Linked DNA regions of Canis lupus familiaris. The protein of the gene in region 1 purifies or fractionates together with the protein of each later gene. This does not show direct contact. Links are inferred from orthologs where the notes say so. Each region holds a gene or a part of one and is shown in the gene's direction. Other genes may lie near its edges. The genes, in order: BYSL, RIOK2, CSNK1D, RPS3 and PNO1.

What was found.
Region 2: the proteins of BYSL (region 1) and RIOK2 purify together in Homo sapiens (affinity purification with mass spectrometry; 3 studies listed by BioGRID and IntAct, with this or other methods). This does not show direct contact. The link is inferred for Canis lupus familiaris from reciprocal best matches to the Homo sapiens genes BYSL and RIOK2.
Region 3: the proteins of BYSL (region 1) and CSNK1D purify together in Homo sapiens (affinity purification with mass spectrometry; 3 studies listed by BioGRID and IntAct, with this or other methods). This does not show direct contact. The link is inferred for Canis lupus familiaris from reciprocal best matches to the Homo sapiens genes BYSL and CSNK1D.
Region 4: the proteins of BYSL (region 1) and RPS3 purify together in Homo sapiens (affinity purification with mass spectrometry; 4 studies listed by BioGRID and IntAct, counting the BioPlex papers as one, with this or other methods). This does not show direct contact. The link is inferred for Canis lupus familiaris from reciprocal best matches to the Homo sapiens genes BYSL and RPS3.
Region 5: the proteins of BYSL (region 1) and PNO1 fractionate together in Homo sapiens (co-fractionation; 4 studies listed by BioGRID and IntAct, with this or other methods). This does not show direct contact. The link is inferred for Canis lupus familiaris from reciprocal best matches to the Homo sapiens genes BYSL and PNO1.

The regions. Positions count from the first base shown.
Region 1 is NC_049233.1:10,775,925-10,779,697, forward strand, and holds part of BYSL (bystin), read left to right. Parts: intron 1-1,702; coding exon 1,703-1,841; intron 1,842-2,177; coding exon 2,178-2,311; intron 2,312-3,080; coding exon 3,081-3,241; intron 3,242-3,392; coding exon 3,393-3,495; intron 3,496-3,773. UniProt on the Homo sapiens protein: Required for processing of 20S pre-rRNA precursor and biogenesis of 40S ribosomal subunits. May be required for trophinin-dependent regulation of cell adhesion during implantation of human embryos.
Region 2 is NC_049224.1:12,586,221-12,590,676, forward strand, and holds the start of RIOK2 (serine/threonine-protein kinase RIO2), read left to right. Parts: upstream 1-1,389; 5' UTR 1,390-1,502; coding exon 1,503-1,568; intron 1,569-1,944; exon of another isoform or gene 1,945-2,044; coding exon of another isoform or gene 2,045-2,074; intron 2,075-2,790; exon of another isoform or gene 2,791-2,899; coding exon of another isoform or gene 2,900-2,914; intron 2,915-4,456. UniProt on the Homo sapiens protein: Serine/threonine-protein kinase involved in the final steps of cytoplasmic maturation of the 40S ribosomal subunit. Involved in export of the 40S pre-ribosome particles (pre-40S) from the nucleus to the cytoplasm.
Region 3 is NC_049230.1:898,947-903,243, forward strand, and holds the start of CSNK1D (casein kinase I), read left to right. Parts: upstream 1-1,362; 5' UTR 1,363-1,673; coding exon 1,674-1,749; intron 1,750-4,297. UniProt on the Homo sapiens protein: Essential serine/threonine-protein kinase that regulates diverse cellular growth and survival processes including Wnt signaling, DNA repair and circadian rhythms. It can phosphorylate a large number of proteins.
Region 4 is NC_049242.1:23,299,609-23,303,860, reverse strand, and holds the start of RPS3 (40S ribosomal protein S3), read left to right. Parts: upstream 1-1,336; 5' UTR 1,337-1,370; coding exon 1,371-1,400; intron 1,401-2,438; exon of another isoform or gene 2,439-2,586; intron 2,587-2,717; coding exon 2,718-2,848; intron 2,849-3,349; coding exon 3,350-3,443; intron 3,444-3,930; coding exon 3,931-4,025; intron 4,026-4,252. UniProt on the Homo sapiens protein: Component of the small ribosomal subunit. The ribosome is a large ribonucleoprotein complex responsible for the synthesis of proteins in the cell. Has endonuclease activity and plays a role in repair of damaged DNA.
Region 5 is NC_049231.1:68,531,181-68,534,953, forward strand, and holds part of PNO1 (RNA-binding protein PNO1), read left to right. Parts: intron 1-527; coding exon 528-611; intron 612-787; coding exon 788-848; intron 849-1,082; coding exon 1,083-1,200; intron 1,201-3,773. UniProt on the Homo sapiens protein: Part of the small subunit (SSU) processome, first precursor of the small eukaryotic ribosomal subunit.

The DNA.
Region 1 (3,773 bases):
GGGAGAAGCAGGCTCCATGCACCGGGAGCCTGATGTGGGATTCGATCCCGGGTCTCCAGGATCGCGCCCTGGGCCAAAGGCAGGCGCCAAACCGCTGCGCCACCCAGGGATCCCAGTTCTTAGGCTTTTAGGAGCTAAATGCATCTCTCGTTGCTGATAGTATTGAGAAAAGACACAGAAGCTGAAGGATAAGTTCTGTGGTCACTGAGAACACAGTGAGGAAATGAGCCAGTTTCCCACACTGATGCCCAGCAGCTAAAGTAGACGTCACAAAGTGTGTACTTGGGCTGTATGCTTCTCCTGGCAGAGGGCCCTTGGTTCTCAGCACCTCCAAACTCCTTTGTAATATAGTATTCTGACATGATTGGCAGGATGATTTTATTGCTTGGAGCTGCCAAAACAGGGATTCTTGATAGTCCTGAGAAATGACAGCTGGCAACTTCTGAAAGCAAACCAGACCCATGTGAACTCAGCAGTCAGGGGCCCATGTAGTTGGGGGCACATTATAGTGTATTGTCAAGTACTTGGATTTCAGGCTGAAAGACCAGGGTTTGACTCTCTCCTTACTTGAGAGCTCTGAGACCCTGGGTGAGTTATTGACGTCTCTGGATATCAGTTCCTATGTCTGAATAAGGGCAATAATGACACCTCTATGAGATGTTGTACAGCCTATATGAGATAATCTGGAAAATCCTGCTTCAATGCCTACTGTTGAGAAAATAGCCATTTTTTTAAATTTTTTTTTTTTATTTATGATAGTCACACAGAGAGAAAGAGAGAGGCAGAGACATAGGCAGAGGGAGAAGCAGGCTCCATGCACCGGGAGCCCGACGTGGGATTTAATCCCGGGTCTCCAGGATCACGCTCTGGGCCAAAGGCAGGCGCTAAACTGCTGCACCACCCGGGATCCCGAAAATAGCCATTTTAGATATGCCTTAGCAGCCTCTGAAGACATCATTCTACCAAAGCCCAATGTGACAATAATTCTAAACCATCCTGATAAGGTTATGTTTGATATGCTCTGTGCAAGGAAACTGAGAAAAATATTATTAATCTTAGAAATCTTTCCATAAATTTCAAAAAGTGAAATTGGGGGGAAGTTTGTGTCATAGTCTCTCCTTAATGGCCCCAGTTGCTTGAAATCTTGGAAAATAACAGAGATGTGTCTGGCATTCTAGAGAGGCCAGATCAGGACTTTGTAATAGGAGATCCCTTAGCATGTTGCCAGCACTCGATAGATGTGTTTGAAATAGGCAATGCTTACTGTACACTTGCTGTGTACTAAGAGTTCTAAGTAACATGCAAACATTAACTCCTGTAATCCTTGTGCTGACGTTATGAGTTAGGCACTGTTACTGTCCCGGTCTCACAGATAAGGAAACTGAGACATAGAGAGGCCAAGTATGCCCAGGGTCATACAGGGAGAGGAAGAGCCAAGATCTGAACCCAGGCTGACTGACTTCAGAGTCCAGGCCCTCCACCTCCACACAGCTATCAGCTTTGTCCCAAAATGAATGACTTTTGGGTCCTCACACTGCTCAGGATTCTGTGGTGGGTGGTAGGGCTCAGGAAAACTGGGGCCACACATCCCAGCGGGATCACAAGTGTATTAGAGCTCATGAGGGACTGTGCAGGAAGTCTAGAGCTTCCCAGACTGACCACCGCCCTCTCCCCTTCCCTCCCACACCTCCTCTACTCTTAGGCGTACCCTGGCTGACATCATCATGGAGAAGCTAACCGAAAAGCAGACGGAAGTCGAGATGGTTATGTCAGAGGTGTCAGGCTTTCCTATGCCCCAGCTGGACCCCCGGGTCCTAGAGGTCTACAGAGGGGTCCGGGAGGTAAGAGCTGAGAGGAGAGCCGTGATCAAATACCCTCCCAGGGGCTGTGGGCTCCACCTAAGGCTTTGTGTTCCCTCACAAATGAGGCAGAGTGGCCAAAAGCAAACTTAAAAGATACCTGCTCTGCCACTCAGGGACTTGGTAGCCTTGGGTAAGGTTCCTTAACTCTAGTCTTGGTTTCCCTATCTGGAAAACAAGGGCATAAAAGCACATCCTAACAGGGTTGTGGTGAGGATTAAGTGAGCTAATCTGTGAAAACCAACCACATGAGGACATGGCATGCGGCACATGGCTTGTGTGTCATGGGCAGCGATGACTCAGCGCCCTCATCCCCAGGTGTTATCGAAGTACCGCAGTGGGAAACTGCCCAAGGCCTTCAAGATCATCCCTGCGCTCTCCAACTGGGAGCAAATCCTGTACATCACAGAGCCTGAGGCCTGGACTGCAGCCGCCATGTACCAAGCCACGAGGTAGAAGAGGGGGGTTAGGGCGGCCTGGGGTCTGTAGGTGGCAGTGGGGGTGGAGGTGCAGCTTTCTCTGCTACTGTCATTACATCTTTGCCTTGCCCCAGAGCTCTAGCTTGTGTTTCTGTACATCACGGTTTTCCCAGCTTTCCTGTTTCATGTTTCGGAGCCAGGACTTGGTTGAGACTCTGCTGTGATGAGTTTTCAGAAGTGGGGCTTAGAACTACTGGGGGACAACCCCTGGTGTATCAGAGGGGCCTCTGAAGTCTGTGGCTCCCCAGGCACACTTGGGTCCCTCGTGACAGCAAGGTAAAGAAAATCTATGTCAGGGAAGAAAGGTGAAGAGCAGAGAGCTCTGGCTTTCCCAAAGACAAAGCGCTCCCTTTGTTTGGATACATCTTGTAGCCCCTCCTGAGCCCTCCCTAATCTGTGTCTGCACACAGCTTACTCCTACTCACCCCTCAGATCTCTTATGTGCACCATCCACAGTGATTATTTAAAGTGCCAGCTCCAGGTGGTTCAGTCAGTTAGGTGTCTTATCTTTGGCTCAAGTCATGATCCCAGGGCCCTGGGATTAAGCCCCAAGTCAGGCTCCCTGCTTAGCAGGGGAGTCTGCTGCTCCCTTTCCCTCTGCCCTTCCTCCCTGCTTGTGCATGTACTGTCTTTCAAATAAAGTTTTTAAATCTTTAAAAAAAAAGTAATAAAGTGCCAGCTCCTGGCTACCAAGTGACCAGGGATCTCCCTCCGTATTCTACCCCCCTACCCCCAAACCTAGGATTTTCGCCTCTAACCTCAAGGAACGCATGGCTCAGCGCTTCTACAACCTTGTCCTGCTCCCCCGGGTACGAGATGACATCGCTGAATACAAACGACTCAACTTCCACCTCTACATGGCACTCAAGAAGGCCCTGTTCAAGCCTGGAGCCTGGTTTAAAGGTGGGAACTGAGAGGGAGGGGCCGGAGCTCCTGCAGGTGAAAGCAGCAAGCCTGACTTGGGAGATGACTGTCTCGGGTAGGTGGGGAACCTGCTCTAGCTCCTTTCTCTCACCCTAGACTCAAAAATGACTGCCTCTCTGACCCTCCCCAGGGATCCTGATCCCCCTGTGTGAGTCTGGCACCTGTACCCTCCGCGAAGCCATCATCGTGGGTAGCATCATCACCAAATGCTCCATCCCTGTGTTGCACTCCAGGTAATGTTGGTGAGGATGGAGAACAGTCAGCAGATACCCAGATAGGAGTATCCCAGGGTGGGGGCTGGGAGTGGACAGAGTGGGGAAGGACCTAGGAATAGCCCTGGGTCTGTGGCTTGTTTAAGCTTCTGAGCATGTCGCTACTCCACTAGAATGGAAGTTCCCCCCCAAACAGGAGCCCGGTGCCTGGCACATGGCAGGTGCTCAGTAAGGAGTTGAATGAATGAATGGAGAACATGAGAAGAAAGTTTGTTAGGGGTGGAGATCTTCAGATGCTT
Region 2 (4,456 bases), on another chromosome or scaffold:
TAGTGGAGGTTACCATTAGTTGAGCATGGTCAATGGAAGGCTTACGGCATTCACGTGTAAAAAAAAAAAAAAAAAGAATGCAAAGGCTGCAGTGTAGACGGGATAGAGGATTGTTCTACTGCCTGTACTCCATGGTTTCAGAGTATTAACTATTCTGACTTGGAAAAGAAAGGGCATATGCAGTTGCTTGCCTTCCAACTGCGCTGCGGGGAAGGGAGGGGTATGAAAAGGCTATTAACTGTGTTTGCACAAAGCAACATACTCTGTACTGCGTCGCAGGGCTGAACACCCGGCCAGCAGAACCCCAGCAGGAAAAACATGGGACTCTAAATACTGAACTCCAAAGTTCACACTCCAAGTGTTCGAGACTCAACGCACAAAGAAGCTGGAAACGCCGTCGAGGCTCCTGCAGGTCATAATCCTCCGCGACCGTATGTTGCACCCGCCGCTGACGCGCGAGGGCCTAACAAGACAGGTAACGGTCTTTTAAAAAAAAAAAAAAAATGTGATTCATGAAACAAGATAGAAACACAAACATCAGGCGAGTTTGGTCACCCTCGCTGCTTTTGCAGGGGAGGGAGGGTAACGCAGCCCCCCACCCCGCCCCCGGCCTGGGGCGCATGTTGTTTAAAGTCTTGCCTGGGTTACCATTCCTGTGGGCGTAGAGAAGGGCTGCAGGTTCCGAGTGTGTAGCTCTCCTAAAGCCCCACGGCGTGGCCTCTGATCAGCAACCTCCGCGGACCCGACCCAACTCGTCAACACGGCCCACGGCCGGTGCAAAGGCCCGGCAGACGCGGCCACCAGGGCCCGCCTTCCACGCAGCCCAAGCCCCGCCCCCGCCCCGCGCAGGCGCACTCCCGAGGCCCGCCGCCCTCCCTAAAACCAACACTGAGCACGCGCAGGAGAGAGCTCTCGTTAGCCACGCCCCCCTCCGGGGCGGGCGCTGTGGAGAAAAAAAAAAAAAAAAAAAAAGGCGGGCCTGCCTGCCTGATTCCTGCTATTTTCCTTTTTAACCGCCTTGTGTGTCCGGACACGTTTTGGGTTCATTTCCTCCCCTTCCTTGTTGGAACTCACTTTGCCTGAAGCAGGAGTTGCCGTCGAGGAATACAATTTGCTTCCCCCGCCGCCGACCCCGGGAAGTTCCTTTCCGCTCGGATCCAGGCGGCTCGCCTCCTTTCGGCAAGTGGGTCCTGACAGATAGGAAGAATAAAACGGTCTGTTGTAGAGGTCGAAAGAGATTGAAAGTCCGTTCACTTAGGTGAAAAAAGCCATCCCAAAAATATATATATTCTGCATCGTCCCCTGCGGCGTGCAGCGTAGAGACACGGGACGTGTGATTTTCCCACGCGGGGCGGGAGCGTTCCATTAACGAGGACCTGCAGCGCGCAGCGGCGCATGCGCGAGCGCCCCTGCGGCCGGGAGGCGCCCGGGAGCTGCCCGGGAGGCGTCCGCAGAGTCTGCGGCTGCAGAGGAGGCGGCTCCTGGCTTGGTCTTCGGGCGCCATGGGGAAGGTGAACGTGGCCAAGTTACGTTACCTGAGCCGGGATGACTTCAGGGTCCTGACCGCGGTAAGGAGTCGCCGTGTCCCCCCGGCCGCCCGCCGGCCGCGCGCTCTCCGGCTCCCGCCTCGCCTGAGGGCGGAGCGCGCCGTAGGCCTCGGAGACCCGGGCGGCCCAGGTGCAGGACCGGGCCCGGCCGTCAGGTCGCTCGGGAGCTTCCGTCCGCCCCGAAGCAGAGCCGGGCCGCTCTCGTGGGCGTTTCCCTCCTCTCTGCTCCCGCTACTCGGGCTCCAGGGGCGCCCTTGGGTCCCCGCGGCCCGGACGGCGTCTCGGGGCCTGCCTTCCGCCCCCCCCCCCCCCGACGGGGGCTCCGGGACTCCCGAGGACTGGTGACGCCGGGGGTCCTCACGCACACGGTCACTCACGCAGCATTTATTCACTGTGATTCAAGCGGCGCTGACTTGTCAGGGCTTTTTGGTGACGACGTGAGGGAACTCGCAGGGGGCCCAAGACGAGGGAGACGGGCCGAGTAAACCGGGAAAGGAATGAGGTGCAATCAGCTAATAAGCGCTGAGGTCCGTAAAATAGAAACCACGTGCACGTCGAGGGCGGGGGGGGGGACGGATGTCATCTTTAGATTCGGTGCGACGTCAGGGAAGGCTGCTGAGGGGATCCCGGGTGGGGCAGCGGTTTAGGGCCGCCTTCGGCCCAGGGCGTGACCCTGGGGACCCGGGGTCGAGTCCCGCGTCTGGCGTCGGACTCCCTGCATGGAGCCTGCTTCTCCCTCTGCCTGTGTCTCTGCCTCTCTCTCATGAATAAGTAAATAAAATCCTTTTAAAAATTTTTTTAAAAAGGGGATGACTACCTAAATGAAATAATCTTGCTTATTTACTGTGCGTAACCAGAGTTAAGGGCTTTTGAAAAAGTTCCTGGCGCTTGGTAGATACTGAAGAAATATTTGCCAAGTAAGAGAAAGACTGGCAGGGGAGATGGGGAAATAATGGGAGCTGGATGAAAAGGAGGCAGTCCAGTGAAGTTCTTGGAAAGTGATGGAGACAGAGGAAACAGCTGTACTGGGGGGAGGGGGCGGGAGGGGTCGGGAGGGGTCGAGGGGGGGGGGGTCCCCCTGGGTGGCTCAGCGGTTTAGCACCGCCTTCGGCCCAGGGCGTGATCCTGGGGACCTAGGATCAAGTTCTACCCACATCGGGCCCCCTGCATGGAGCCTGCTTCTCTCCCTCTGCCTGTGTCTCTGCCTCTCTCTATCTCTCATGAATAAATAAAATCTTAAAAGAAAAGAAACAGCTGAACTGCGTGCAAAGCTTCTGACCTCAGAAGTTTATGAAGAAGGGAAAGGCCAGTGTGGCTGGAGCCATAGTGAGCAAGAGACTTAATGGCTGGAGATGGCATTGGACAAGGTGAGAGACTGGTCGTGTGCTGCAGAGCCTTGTGAGCTTGGTAAAGAATTCAGAAGATACTCCACATATAGGGGAACTGCTGAATGTTTTAACCAGTGACAAAAACGGATTTTTTTTTTTTTTAAAGACGTTATTCATTTATTCATGAGAGACACAGAGAGAGAGAGGCAGAGACACAGGCAGAGGGAGAAGCAGGCTCCATGCAGGGAGCCTGATGCAGGACTCCATCCCAGGACCCTGGGACCATGACCTGAGCTGATGGTGGATGCTTAAGCGACAGAGCCACCCAAGAGCCTTTGAATGAATTTTTGTTCAAATAAACTCTTTAAAAAAAATTTTTTTAAAGAGTTTATTTATTCATGAGAGACACAGAGAGAGAGAGAGGCAGAGACAAAGGCAGAGGGAGATGCAGGCTCCAGGCAGGGAACCCAATGCAGGACATGATCCCAGAACCGCGGGATCATGACCTGAGTCAAAGGCAGCTGCTCAACTGCGGAGCAACCCAGGCATTCCTCAGAAACTGATTTTAATGGTCGTAGTCTTAGGGAACAAAGATCAACAACACGTAGATTAGGCATTTCCAGAATAAAACAAATTTGTTTAGAAGATACTATCTTTCAATTAAATAGGCAGTAAGGCATCACATGCAAATTCAGTGTGAAATTTGGAAGATGCTTGATCCAGCTGTATTTTCTTTAAATGCCTGCTGTCACTTCTGAAAAATAGGTCCCTCTCAGCACATGGACTTATTCCTCAATGCCTCTGACAGAAATATGGGCGTAGTGAGAAAGAATGTGAGAGACTAACAGAATGAGTTAAGGTGTGAGATCTTGGTCGGGACATGCAAACAGTGCCGGATTTATCTTCCAAAACGTCGGTCTCTGCAGTATTTAAGATCTTTTTTGAAGCTCACCAACAAATGACTCATTAAATATTTCAGTCTCTGTTGAGGCATACCATCCTCGGTATCAGAGGCCACCTTTCCTTGACTGTCTTCCCTTGACTTCTCAGGCGCCTCCTACATCAGTAATCATACTTTAGCTGGCTGCCCTTACATTTTAATGTGAAATTCCCCCAAAATTCTGTCTGTCGTCCTTCCTTTGTCTTTCATTCTGTCTTGTTCAATGATCATATCCACTTCATAGCTTTATCCTTACCTGCCTCAAATAACCATTTTTTCCCCTTTAATTATGACTTCAGTCCGGAAAATCTTCATTTGAAAGACCTTCCAGAACTTTGAGTTGTGATGAATGTCCTTAAAACATCCCTGTTCACAAATCTCTTTTACATAAACACCTTCAAGGTTTTCAGCTTTCCTCAGAAATCTAAAACCCTTTGGTCTGCATTTCAGGGCCTCCCATATCTTGCTCAAAAGCGTTTTCCAGCCTTCTTTTCATGAACTCTATTTGCCCTCACATCTGAGCTATCAGTGTACTAACTGCTGCTGGGCTTTGTGCTTTCTTGCATATGTGCCATGTTCAGATCTTTTGCCTTTCTCTCATATTCCCTTGTGTGCTTTTTCTGTTTTCCTGCATCTCAAAG
Region 3 (4,297 bases), on another chromosome or scaffold:
CTAAGGGAGCGGCCGGAGGTCTGCACATCCAGGTCCCTTTCCCTTTCTCAGTTTGTACTCATGGCTTTTGGGGAGGGGAGCAGGACACTGTTCACCAGGGAATTCTGGCAACAGGCTGTTTTTACCAGTTTGACAATATCCCCCCACCCTCACACTGTAAGACTGAGAAACCAGGCTGACACGGCCATGGGGCATTCCCCACTGCCCACCGCTCACCAGCGGCTGATCATGGTTTGCCTGGTAGCCTCTCCCGTGTCCAGGCACTGCTAGCAACGCTCAGGAATTGATGCCAGCCTCCCCAACCCCACCCCCAGCTATTTTTGGACAGGGGCTGCACTCCTGAGACTGAGTGTGGGAGAGGGGCAGAAGGACACTCACTGCCCACTGCGCTCCTTCCCCGCCTCCCCTGGGCCACCCGGAGAGGAGGTCCTGATGGTCCATTGGCACACAGGCTGCTCTCCTGGCCGCAGCCAGCCCCGTGCACAGGCCCAGCACACAGGCCCCACGCATAGAGTAGTAGGTATTTGCCAGATGCTCCCAAGTACGCATTAACATTATGTGCTACGGTTCTCCCTTTTTACGTGGGGCGTAGGCGCCAGAAGGAATGACAAGGAAGTCATTCCTTCTCGGCTTGGATGCTTCCCTGGAGGACTCCCTTCCAGTGATCAGAATCAAGACTCCAGATCTTTGAAGCCAGGCATCATTCTGAACTTTAACATTCTTGCTTTCTTTTGCAAGAGGAACCTTCAGACTAGATACAAATTAGGTGAAAAGGTTGATTTGTTCTCCAGGAAGATGAGACTGAGAGGCAGGCCCACGGCCTCACCATTTGAATCCCTGGTAGCTGCGCCTTCTCCTTTCGGGTCTGACCTCGGGCTCTAGGTTTGAGCGCATAAGGCTTGAGGCGTGGGCGGGCAGCGGCGGGCAGTGCTGCAGCGGCGGGCCGGGCACACCTGAGTCCCCGGGGTCCTGCGGGTCCCTGGGCTGGAGGGGCAGACAGGCTCCGCCCCCGTCCCTCTTGCAAAAAGCACTGCCCTGGGGCCTGTCCCAGGTGTGTCGCGGGGAGTCGCTGGCTTCCCCGGCACCCGCGAGGACATACGAAGCCCCTGCGCCAGCACGTGCAGGCTGCACGTGGAATGGACCCCCGGCAGCCCGGGGCTGAGGCGGCTGGGCAAACCGAAAAGAGGGGACCGCCCCGGGGTCCCGGGGTTCTCGAGGACGCGGGTGCGCGCTGGCCCCGCCCCGCCCCCTGGCCCCGCCCAGGCCCCGCCCCACCGTCCGAAGCCGCGGCCCCGCCCCTCGGGGAGCGCGGCCCCGCCCCTCCGGGTTGCTAGGGGAAGTGACGTCACAGCGCGATGGCGGCGGCTCCTTCGGGCAGCTGAAGGGGGATTTAGGCCCGGAAGATCCGAGTCCATCCGCGGCGGGGAGAGGGCGAGCGGGGTCGGCGGGGGCCGGAGCAGGGGCGGCGGCGCTCGGACTGTCCCATCCGCCCCGTATTGAGGCGCTGGGAGCAGCGGGGCGGCCGGAAAGCGATGGTGAAAGCGGGGCCGTGAGGGGGGCGGAGCCGGCAGCCCGACCCGCCGTAGCGGCAGCAGCGGCGCCGCCTCCCCGAGCTCAGACCCAGGAAGCGGCTGGGAGGGCAGGAGCGAGCCGGACCCGCCGCCGCCGCCGCCATGGAGCTCAGAGTCGGGAACAGGTACCGGCTGGGCCGGAAGATCGGCAGCGGCTCCTTTGGAGACATCTATCTCGGTGAGGCGCCCCTCCCCCCCAGCCCGGGCCGCCCCCGGACCGGCGTCCGCGCCCTCCGCGCCCCCCCCCGCCCCCGGGTCGGGGACCCCCGCCCAGGACCCCGGACACGCCCGGACCCCGCTGCGAGGCCCCGCGGCCCGCCTCCGCCCCGGGGACCCCCCTCGCTGGCCCGCGGCGGTGACCGGGACCCACCCCTCCGCCCCGCCCCGCCCCGCCCCCAGCCCCTCCGCGGGGTCCGGCCGTGCCCCGGGGCGCCTGCCCGGACGTGCGCCCCAGGCTGCCGGGAGCGGCCCTGCGCCGCCCCAGACCCCCGCCCGCTGTCCGCGCCCGGGTGTCCCCCGCGGGCAGACAAAGGCCGCCGGGCGGGTGTGCGGCCCCCTGCGGCCCGGGCACGTGGGGGGGCCCGGGGGGGGGTCGGGGCGCCGGCCTCAGGCTTCCGCGGCCCGCGGGCCCGTGCGACGGCGCAGCCCCAGCTCGGCGGCTCCCCGGGCTCTGACGGCGCCGGGGCGGGCGCGGGGCCGCCGGGTGGGTCCCCCGCCCCGTCGAGCGGCCCCCGAAGGACATGTTGCGCATCCAAGTTGTGGACGGGGTGCCTCCGCCGGAGCCAGACTGGGATTTGGGGGAGCGCAGACGGAGTCGGCGTCGCGGTGTGGGCAAAAATTAGAGGCAAATAAAGTAGTAAAGCGCTCTCTACTCCCGAGGTGGTCCCTCTGGCCGTTACGGTTCTCCAGGTACATCTGGGGTAAAAAATAAAAAAATAAAAGAAAGAAAGAAAGAAAAATGGGATTGGAAAGTTCTGGATCGTTTCCGATTTGCAGTGCAAGGAAATGCACGTGTAACGTGAACGGTCGGCTTGAGCCTTCAAGTTGGGGATTTAAAAATAACTTTTGCTGTCGCCGGTACCCCCCTGGACCTGGGGACGCACAGCCTGGCGGGGCTGTGTGCGCAGAGGGACTGTTGCGCAAGTCTGGGGTAAACACGCTCCGATGTTGCGCAGAGCCCCTGCCCTGCTGCTTCTGTTGGGCTATGTACCTGTCAGAGGGGTCAGGAGTGGCTTCAGGGGGTCCCCACCCGGCCTCCCGTCTTGTCACCCGGAGCAGCTGCACCTCCGGGGCTGACGGCGTTAGGAGTGCACACGTTTGTTCATTACCGCTTTTGGTGCCTTCTCACCCCACAGAGCAAGCCTGTCCCGGGCCCTACAGATGCCTCTGATCCTGCCTGCCCTCTGCCTTACTGTCCTGCTGAGCAAAACACACTTCACAGACGTTTCTCTCCAGTAGTTTGCTGGCTGCCTTCTGAGCAGCGTTCCTTTAGGGAAATTTGCTGGGTGAATGTAAACTGTTTGCGTTATTCCCAGAACAGTAAAATTTGGCCAAAGTTTTAATCTAGGATCTAGGAGCTGTCCTGAGAAGTCCATGCATTCGTCACCTTTACACGGGCATCAAAAAGTAGGTATTTGTTTTGGAACTCTCTGTCCTCAGGTGCTAGCCAGCTCTGTGCTTTCTGAAGCTGGTGCAGGGAGCCCCGTGTGCTTATTCACCGTGGTGCCCTCTGGGCCTCCCCTTGTGTTAGGCACACCGGCGGCACCTGATGCACGGCTCAGGCTGACCTGTCCCAGAGGGGTCTCTCCTCAGTCTCACACCCTCGCTCCTAGCACCCGCACGGCCTGTTGAGGTGCACTTAGGCCACAGCTGATCTTTTCCGTCAGCATGGGCTCTGGGCCCCCACGGGGGTCCATTCAGGCTGAGTGCTGCTCCACAGAGGAGAGGTGATCTTGTTACTTGAGAGATGTGGCTGGACCGCAGGGTCTGAGGAACCCCACCAGCTGTAGGTGAGACTCAAAGATGGCTGCCCCAAAGACCACGGAACAGAATGAGTCATCCCTACCATAGTTCCTCCTCTGTAGGTAAAGGCATTAGTTAAGGAATTGCATCCTCATATCTTGAAAATGGTTAGGTTCCATGTATTCTGCTGTGATTACAATTTAAATCACTTCTGCTGCTGTCATTTTACTATTGATCAGAACACTCGACTTCTCCAGGTAGGTTCCCTGTGTTGTGATCCTGCATTTGGGGTCTTGGATTTCTGCCTGGGACAGAAATTGTTGTGTGCTTTCAGAGGTTTGAAACTGCGAGGAGGGGAGGCCGTCTTTCAGTTTACTGAGTGCCTCATGGACCAGGAGGGCCCGGTATTGGCCTGCCTTCCCGGCCGCCTGCTGCATTGACATGGTCATGCGGCCCTGTGCCCTGCCAGTTCTTCCAGTCCATCCCACATGGCCCTTTTAAAGATGGGCTATTTCTCCAGTGCCTGGACTTCAGAAAGTACTGCACTTGGGCCACGATGGACCCCCAAATGTGCGGTCCCCATCTTCTATTTACCTCCAAGCTTGCCAGATCCCGAAGGCTGTCAGGAAGGGCAGGGTGCAAAGGCCTCAGAGTTCCTGTATTCTGTGCGATACGTGCTTATGCGAAACGTTGCCTGTACCTGCTATTTTGGCCATAAGGCAAAGCCTTCCCACCCCTGTGTCTTCATCAGCTTTAGCTTCCAC
Region 4 (4,252 bases), on another chromosome or scaffold:
AATGGCTTCTAGAGCCAGACAATGAATGAGTGAAGATGCCAGGGATTGTGGCATGTTGGAAAGCCCTTCGCCATAAAACAGGGAAGGAGAGGGCTGCCATGAGGAAATGTAGGTCTAGTATTTTGCTGGATCTTTCTGTATTTTTAAGAGAAGCTTAAAAGAGTTTTATAGAGAAGTTTCCTGATTTTTAAATGTAGGCAAACTATTCAAATTTAAGGGGCACCTGGGTAGGTCAGTGGTTGAACATCTGCCCTTGGCTCAGATTGTGATCTTGGGGGTCTTGGAATCCAGTCCTGCATCAGGCTTCCTGTGGGGAGTCTGCTTCTCCCTCTGCCTGTGTCTCTGCCTCACTCTCTCTGTGTCTCTCATGAATAAATAAATAAATCTTTGAAAAAAAAACTATTCAAATTTAAAATAAAACTGTTCATCACAGAAAAACTTGTTTTTCTTTTCTTCTTTTCTTTTTATTGTATCTGTATGACACGATGGGTATTAGCTGAACCTATTTTGGTCATCATTTCACAATATTTGTAAATCAAAGCATCATGCTGCATGCCTCAAACGTATACAGTGATGTATGCCAATTATTTCTCAATAAAACTGTTGTTGAGGTGTTTCAGAGTAAAGTGTGCAGAGGGCTGTAATTTACCTTGAAAAAGATCAAAAGATGCACCCTTGGGTGGATAGAGGGATGGATAGATATGGGATAAAGCAAATATGGCAAAAATGTTAATTGGATCACCTTAGTGACGCATATACATAATTCTTTCAACCTTCCTGTGTGCTTGAAAATTTCAAAATATAAGGGGTACAGTTTTTTTTAACGGAAAAATAATTGTGACCCCATGAACCACTACTTGGTGACTTCCGTTACTAGTTTTAATGGACTTTATGAAAGTGAGGCAGAGGTAAATGAGTTCATAATATAAAGGGCATAGAACAGTCCCTAGCATATTTAATAAATATTAGATATTTATATCGCCAGCATTTGGAACAGAGAAAACGGACACAGAAGGGCTGGACCTAAACGAATTTCATTGAGTGTAGAGTGCAGGGACTAGGATTGCACGCTGTTGCTGTGTGAGTTTATACCTGTAATTTCCATCTCTGCGCCTCACGTTGCTCACTTAAGCTAATAAGAATTGGACCTAAGCTCCCCTGATTGATCTGCTCCCTTTCCTGTTTCTGCCTATACGTGTCTCCATTACCCCTCCTTTTTTTCCCCTCTTTAATGCCTTCCTAAAAACTACAATTCCCAGGAGCGCCTACAGGCGTCGACGTCGCGCAGTTCTTTGTCGTAGCTCGCGCCCTTTATACCTACTTCCGCCCACGAGCCACTTCCTTTTCTTTCCGGGGCGCGCGGCGGCAAGATGGCGGTGCAAATTTCCAAGAAGAGGAAGGTAAGACGCTGGGGTCTAGGTTCGGGGATCTGTGGTGCCGCGCGGGTCGAGGCTTGTCGAGATGCCGTCGCGAGACCCTCAGCTTCGAGCCCTGCTTCGGGAAGCGGCCTGGGCCGCGTGGCATTCCCGCGGACCGCGGATGGCGGTGGATTGAATGCGAGGCCCGAGCCAGGCGAGCGCGGTTTGGCGGCGGAAGGGAGTGATGAGAGACGTCTGCCGCTTCTGGGCGAAGACCAGACGTGAGCACCGGGCGCCCCTCCCGCCCGAGACAAAGCGCTTGGGAGCATTACTTGGTTAACAGGTAGCTTTAGTAAGCGTATTTTGAGAGGTTGGGCCGTTCCCCCTAATGTCTCTCACTAGGACTTTGGGGGGGGGAGGTGGCGTGTGCACGCCTTCTTCGTGTCGGGGCGCGGCCCTCTGACCCCCGAGACCTCGGTTGGAGAGGCTGCTGTATCTTGCCCCGTCTCTACCGCGGAGAAAGTAACCGGGAGGGAGGAGAACCGGACAGAGCACTGGATCGAGCTTTAACTTTTCGCTTTTCCGCAGGCGGAAACTGTAAAGTCCGCTTGCTTTAGAAAGAGGCAACTAACTTGTCATTTTGTGTGTGTACACAGCGTCGTGCAAATCCACACACTTTTTCGAATTAGAGTTCAGCTTTGTGAGACATGTACTGTAGGCAAGATAACATGGCTGGGAGTCTTCTGATGGTCCCTGAAGGCAGCGTATTTTCATGGGTTACAAAGGTAGCATCTCTGCTCTGCAGACAGAAGGAGTTGTGAATGTGCCATTTTATTTTATTTATCTTAAGATTTTACTTATTTATTCATGGGAGACACAGACCCAGGCAGAGGGAGAAGCAGACTCCATGCAGGGAGCCCGATGTGGGACTGGATCTCGGGACTCCAGGATCACGCCCTGCGCCGCCCTGGACCGGAGGCAGGCGCTTAACTGCTGAGCTACCTGGGCATCCCGTGAATGTGCCATTTTAGAGCAGCTGTTTGTTTGGCATGTGCTACTCCTAAAGAAGTCTTTAAAACCCTTCAATGAAGAGAAGATGACGAGTCTGACTGGAGGTGTTATCTTTGCCAGGCGGCCCCTACTCCTTGCTGCGTTCTGTGGCAGTTTTAAGGGTCCTTGGGTTAAAGTAACTTCCAAAGGACGATCTAGAGGCATTTGTCTGAGAAGGGTTGTTAAATTCTGTGTTGGAACAAGGGTAGTAAGAGTGATGATGGGATGTTTGTATGAGGTGTTGCATTGGCAGAAGGACAATGACCCTGCCATCCCACGTTCTAATTGTGAATTTTCCCTTTTGGTTAGTTTGTCGCTGATGGCATCTTCAAAGCTGAACTGAATGAGTTTCTCACTCGGGAGCTCGCTGAAGATGGCTACTCTGGGGTTGAGGTCCGAGTTACACCAACCAGGACAGAAATCATTATCCTGGCCACCAGGTGAGATCTCATTTTCCTGGTTAGCACCTGTTACTTGTTGTATATGCTAGGTTGGTGTATTCTGTAAACTTCCAGGGAGAACCAGTGAATTGGCCTTATTAGCAAACGTAAGTGGTTTGTTTTTGTTTTTAAGATTTTTATTCATTTGAAAAAAAAAAAAAAAGATTTTATTCATTTGACTGAGAGTGCAAAGCGGAGGATGGGAGGGGGTGTTGAGGGGCTGAGGGAGGAGCAGGGAGCCCTTTGCCGGGCTTGATCCCAGGGCCCTGGGATCTTGACCTGAGTGACCTGAGCCAAAGGCAGACACTTACCAACTGAGCCAACGTGGCACCCCACAAATGTGTATTTTCGTAACTGCCTTTTAAATCTGATTCTAGCTCTTGTCATCCAAAATTTGTATTTTCTATGTTAGACGGGTGAGACTTCATTACCACATATATGTAAAATTTAAAGCCATGTTTGCAGTTTTGTGAGAGCTATTGTGTATTTTCGTTTTCTCAGGACACAGAATGTTCTTGGTGAAAAGGGCCGGAGGATCCGGGAATTGACTGCTGTGGTTCAGAAGAGGTTTGGTTTTCCTGAGGGCAGTGTAGAGGTGAGTGATTTTGCCTTTTGCCAGAGATTACCGTGGACCTGGAAATGGTTATTTAGGGTGGTTACTTTTATAAACCCTTAATGTCATGAAGACCTTAGTTATCACCAAGTATTACATATGAATTGGTGTTTTGTTGGTTGTCTTAATAAGTAGCAGGCTTTATTTTATAGGCCTTTTCTGCTCATTTCTGGTGGTTAAGGGACTTTTTTTTACTCTCAACTTAAGTATGGTAATGATATGTATGATGGATTGGCTATCCCATCACTTGATGTAGCTGTAGAAGTATCTAGGGATGAGAGGGCAATAAGGAAAGATTCAGACTATGTCACAGCGTAGGCTACCTATGAGTAGTAGGAGTGTTTTAGTACTTGAGGGATGCCACAGTGACCACATGCTTGTATGGTGAATGAGTTTTTTTTTTTTCTTTAATTGAAAACAATGGGGAAAGTTAACAGGTTTAAGGGTGTACCTTGATTTCTTCTTAAAGCTCTATGCCGAAAAGGTGGCCACAAGAGGTCTATGTGCTATTGCCCAGGCAGAGTCACTGCGTTACAAACTCCTAGGAGGCCTTGCTGTGCGGAGGTAAGTGTCCTGAGACTTTTTTTTTTCAAGATTTTATTTATTTATTCATGAGTTATACACAGAGAGGCAGGGAGATAGAGGGAGAAGCAGGCTCCTCACAGGGAGCCTGATGCAGGACTCAATCCCTGGACCAGGATCACACCCTGAGCCAAAGGCAGACACTCAACTACTGAGCCACCCAGGCATCCCTGAATGATTATGTTTTAAAGAGTGGTCAGTGCTATAAA
Region 5 (3,773 bases), on another chromosome or scaffold:
CGTAAGGCACCTTTGCGGTGCGTGTCATTGTGAGTGGTGGGGACTTTACGAGTAGCAGCTATTTCTGCAGGTATCTAATAAAGCCTTTAAGGACGAGATTCCCGCTTACACCATTCATGGTAGTGGGTCCCGCAGTTAGTGCTCTGGGAAACATGGGCGTATGACGATGATTGAAGTCAGGAGAGGAGATCAGCACTCCCAGGGGGAGAAGAGAAGAGGGGGTCCCTGAGCTGTGGGCCACTGGGCTGCCAGAGGAATCCTGCCGTTGGCCCCCGAGTCCCATGGGTCTTGGGGTGTAGTCTTCAGATGGAACTACCCAACTCTGGAGCTGGGAGCATTTCATTGTGCAAAATCAACACAGTGCTTATCTCACCAAAAACTGGGTCATAGAGGATATATTGGGGAAGGATGGTGGTTAAGGAAATTTTAATAATGAGGAAAGTCTGCCCTGGTGTTTTATTGTAATATTTTCACCTCTGGTCTTAATATGTGTGTTTTTTTTTTGTTTTTTTTTGTTTTTGTAACAGACTTGTAAAGAAACCAAGGATGTTAGTGCTCTAACAAAAGCAGCAGATTTTGTGAAAGCCTTTATTCTTGGGTTTCAGGTGGAGGTGAGTGACTTTGTGACATTTGAATTGGGTGCTTAAAAACACTTAGTATGAACATTTCAACGGGTTTGAGCTTTTTAAAAAAATATTTTTTGAGTCTTCTAGGTCTGGTGAATTTTAACAGTTATTCTCAGGTATGTAAACAGAAGGACTTCACAGCTTTAATTTTTATGTTGTAGGACGCGCTTGCCCTCATTAGGTTGGATGATCTCTTCCTAGAGTCTTTTGAAATTACAGATGGTGAGTCTAGGGTGGTGTTTTTCCCTTAACTGTTGTACTTTTGTACTGCTGACTTTGTATTGTAGGAGACTCTTAGCTTTCTCATGGCATCAGTTGACCTGTGTTATCGGCAGGTTCAAAAAAGTTTTTTTGCGTCTTTTAGGAGGGTTAATTCAGTTAGTGATTAAATTTCATGATGGAGTGGGTGGCGTGCTGAAGTCGCTTGCCTCCTCAGGTCTTGCTTCTCTCATTTAGTGAAGCCCCTAAAGGGAGACCACCTGTCCAGGGCAATAGGAAGAATTGCTGGCAAAGGAGGAAAAACCAAGTTCACCATAGAGAATGTGACACGGACACGGATAGTTTTGGCTGATGTGTAAGTATCTGGTCTTGAGAATATTATTGTCCTGATTTATATGTGATCTTTTGCTGGCTTCAAGGAGTCATAAAAATTGGATTTCATGCATAATGTTGCCACTGACTCTTTGCCAGTGTGCAGTTCTGGATGAAATACAGTTACTTTGGAAGCAGATTAAGTGAGTTGAGAAAAATCTCAGGAATTAAGCTTTTTTTCTCAGCAATAAAGGAAATGATTAGGGGTGCCTGGGTGGCTCAGTCGGTTGATCTTCTGCCTTCTGCTCAGGTCGCCGTCCAGGGGCCCTGGGATCGAGTCTTGCTCCGGGTTCCCTGCTCAGCAGGGAGCCTGCTTCTCCTTCTGCCCCTCCCTTCTTCGTGCTCTCTCTCTCTCTCTCTCTCAAATAAATAGAATCTTCAAAAAAGCAAAGGAAATGTTTATAATTACTATTAAAAGAAGTTACTTGACAGGTGAAGATTTAAATAGTATCCGAGGGGACCGGTACATCAGTAGGAGAGAGGAAGGAGTGGGTGTTTTAAATGCCATTGTGGGGATCCCTGGGTGGCGCAGCGGTTTGGCGCCTGCCTTTGGCCCAGGGCGCGATCCTGGAGACCCGGGATCGAATCCCACGTCGGGCTCCCGGTGCATGGAGCCTGCTTCTCCTTCTGCCTATGTCTCTGCCTCTCTCTCTCTCTCTCTGTGACTATCATAAATAAATAAAAATTAAAAAAAAAAAATAAGCAGCAAGCTGAATGTGGCCTGTGGTTCATAACTTACCAAGCCCTGATATATATGGTATATCTTTAAAAAAAAATAAAAATAAAAAAAAATAAATGCCATTGTGACTTTCCTTGTAAAGAAAGAAATACATGTGCATAATTTAATAAATATTTTTAAATTCTATGTAAAGGCTTTTCACGGGAGGATGGTGAGTATTGCACGTTAGGTGAAAAGCTAGAGAGCAGCTCTATGTGAACGGAAAGGAGAGGAGCCAGGCTTAAAGTCAGGGTGCAGGAAGTCAAGCTGGGATTAGCCCCGGCGGGGCTGCAGCTGCTGCGGTGCCAGGTCGGGGCTCCTGGCAGATGGTGTGGAGGTTATATAATGCCGCCAAGTTGGGGAACGAAGCAGTTGACTGACAGGAGGAGGGACCTGCCCGCTACTAAACCCAGGAATCATTTTATTTAGAATCCTCCTATCTTTGTTCTAAACTCGGGCTCACCATTTTTTAGAACTAAGTTTTGGACTCTGGTTTACAGTGGAGGGTTAACCACACCACCACGTTGACGGCCCCCTTCCTGGAAGACAGGCTTATTGTAACCTTGGTCCTTGCGAGGCGAGCCTGGAGTTGGGAGTATGCAGCCGTGAGGAGAGCTTGTTTCGAACCAGAAATTAAAATATTTTGAAATCCACACCACATTAGAAAGTATCATATGTCGCCCTGGAGACTTTTGAGGATTTAAAAATGTAACTGATGCACTGATCAAATTATGGGTCCTATGAAGTTTAAAACTTTAAGTACGTTGATGAGTGTTAACGTAAAATTAACTAGTTGAACTAGCTTTTTTAATAGCTTTACTGCAGCGTGATGTACATACAAACCACATTACCTGTTTCAGTTTCAGGAAGATGTATAGGCCGGTCTGTGATCCCACCTCAACCCCAGGCCGTCACTCATCTACCTTCTGTCATGGTTTTGCCTTTTCTAGAAATGTGTATAAATGGAAGTGCACAGGAGGATGCAGTCTTTGGTGTATGGCTTGTTTTAATTAGCTTGCTGTTTGGAGTGTCTCCGTTCCTTGGGTAGGTCAGCAGTTCTTACAAGCCAAGTACTGGCGTGAGGTCTGCATTTTGTTCATCCATTCCCAGTGGATGGAGGTTTGGGCTGTTTGCAGTTTGGGGCCGCTAAGAATAATGGTGCTATTACCGAGTTACAAACTGAGTCACATACTACTTGAAATGGAGTGTGTGGTATGAATAAGCTAATTTGAAATCCACATGTTCAGCAACTTCCTGATAACGCTGTGACCATGACACAGACTTGCAGGCACCTGTAAGAGTTGTTTTTGATGAGTTGCTGATAACCTGGTAAACTACAGTACGATGTGAGCAGGATACTATTCCAAATAAACTCAGTGCATCAGATGGGAAGTCATGTTACTTGTGGGTCCTGAGACCTCCACTCCAGCCACCGCCCCGTCCCTTTGGTGGTTTCAGCGGCACAACTACTCACACTTACGTATGCTCGCTGTTTCCTCATCTTTCCTCTGCTATTGTCAAGAATTTTTATTTTTATCGAAATGACACGTACATGTACTTAGCAAGCCCCACATTTGTACCACCTACTCCCATTTCCTCTTCCTCAAAGGAACTAATTTCAACTCTTTTAGCTAACTTTTAAAAATCATATATCCATATTTTCAAATACCTTGTTTATATACCAGCTTCTTGACTTGTTTTTTCAGATTAACTGTTGACATTCTACTATGAAACTTGAAAATTCAGGTTTTTTTCATCTGTCCTCCCACCTCTACCCCAACTACTCAGCCGTTAAAACACCCAGTGTACTTAGCCCTCCCTGCGTTCTCCAGTACCTT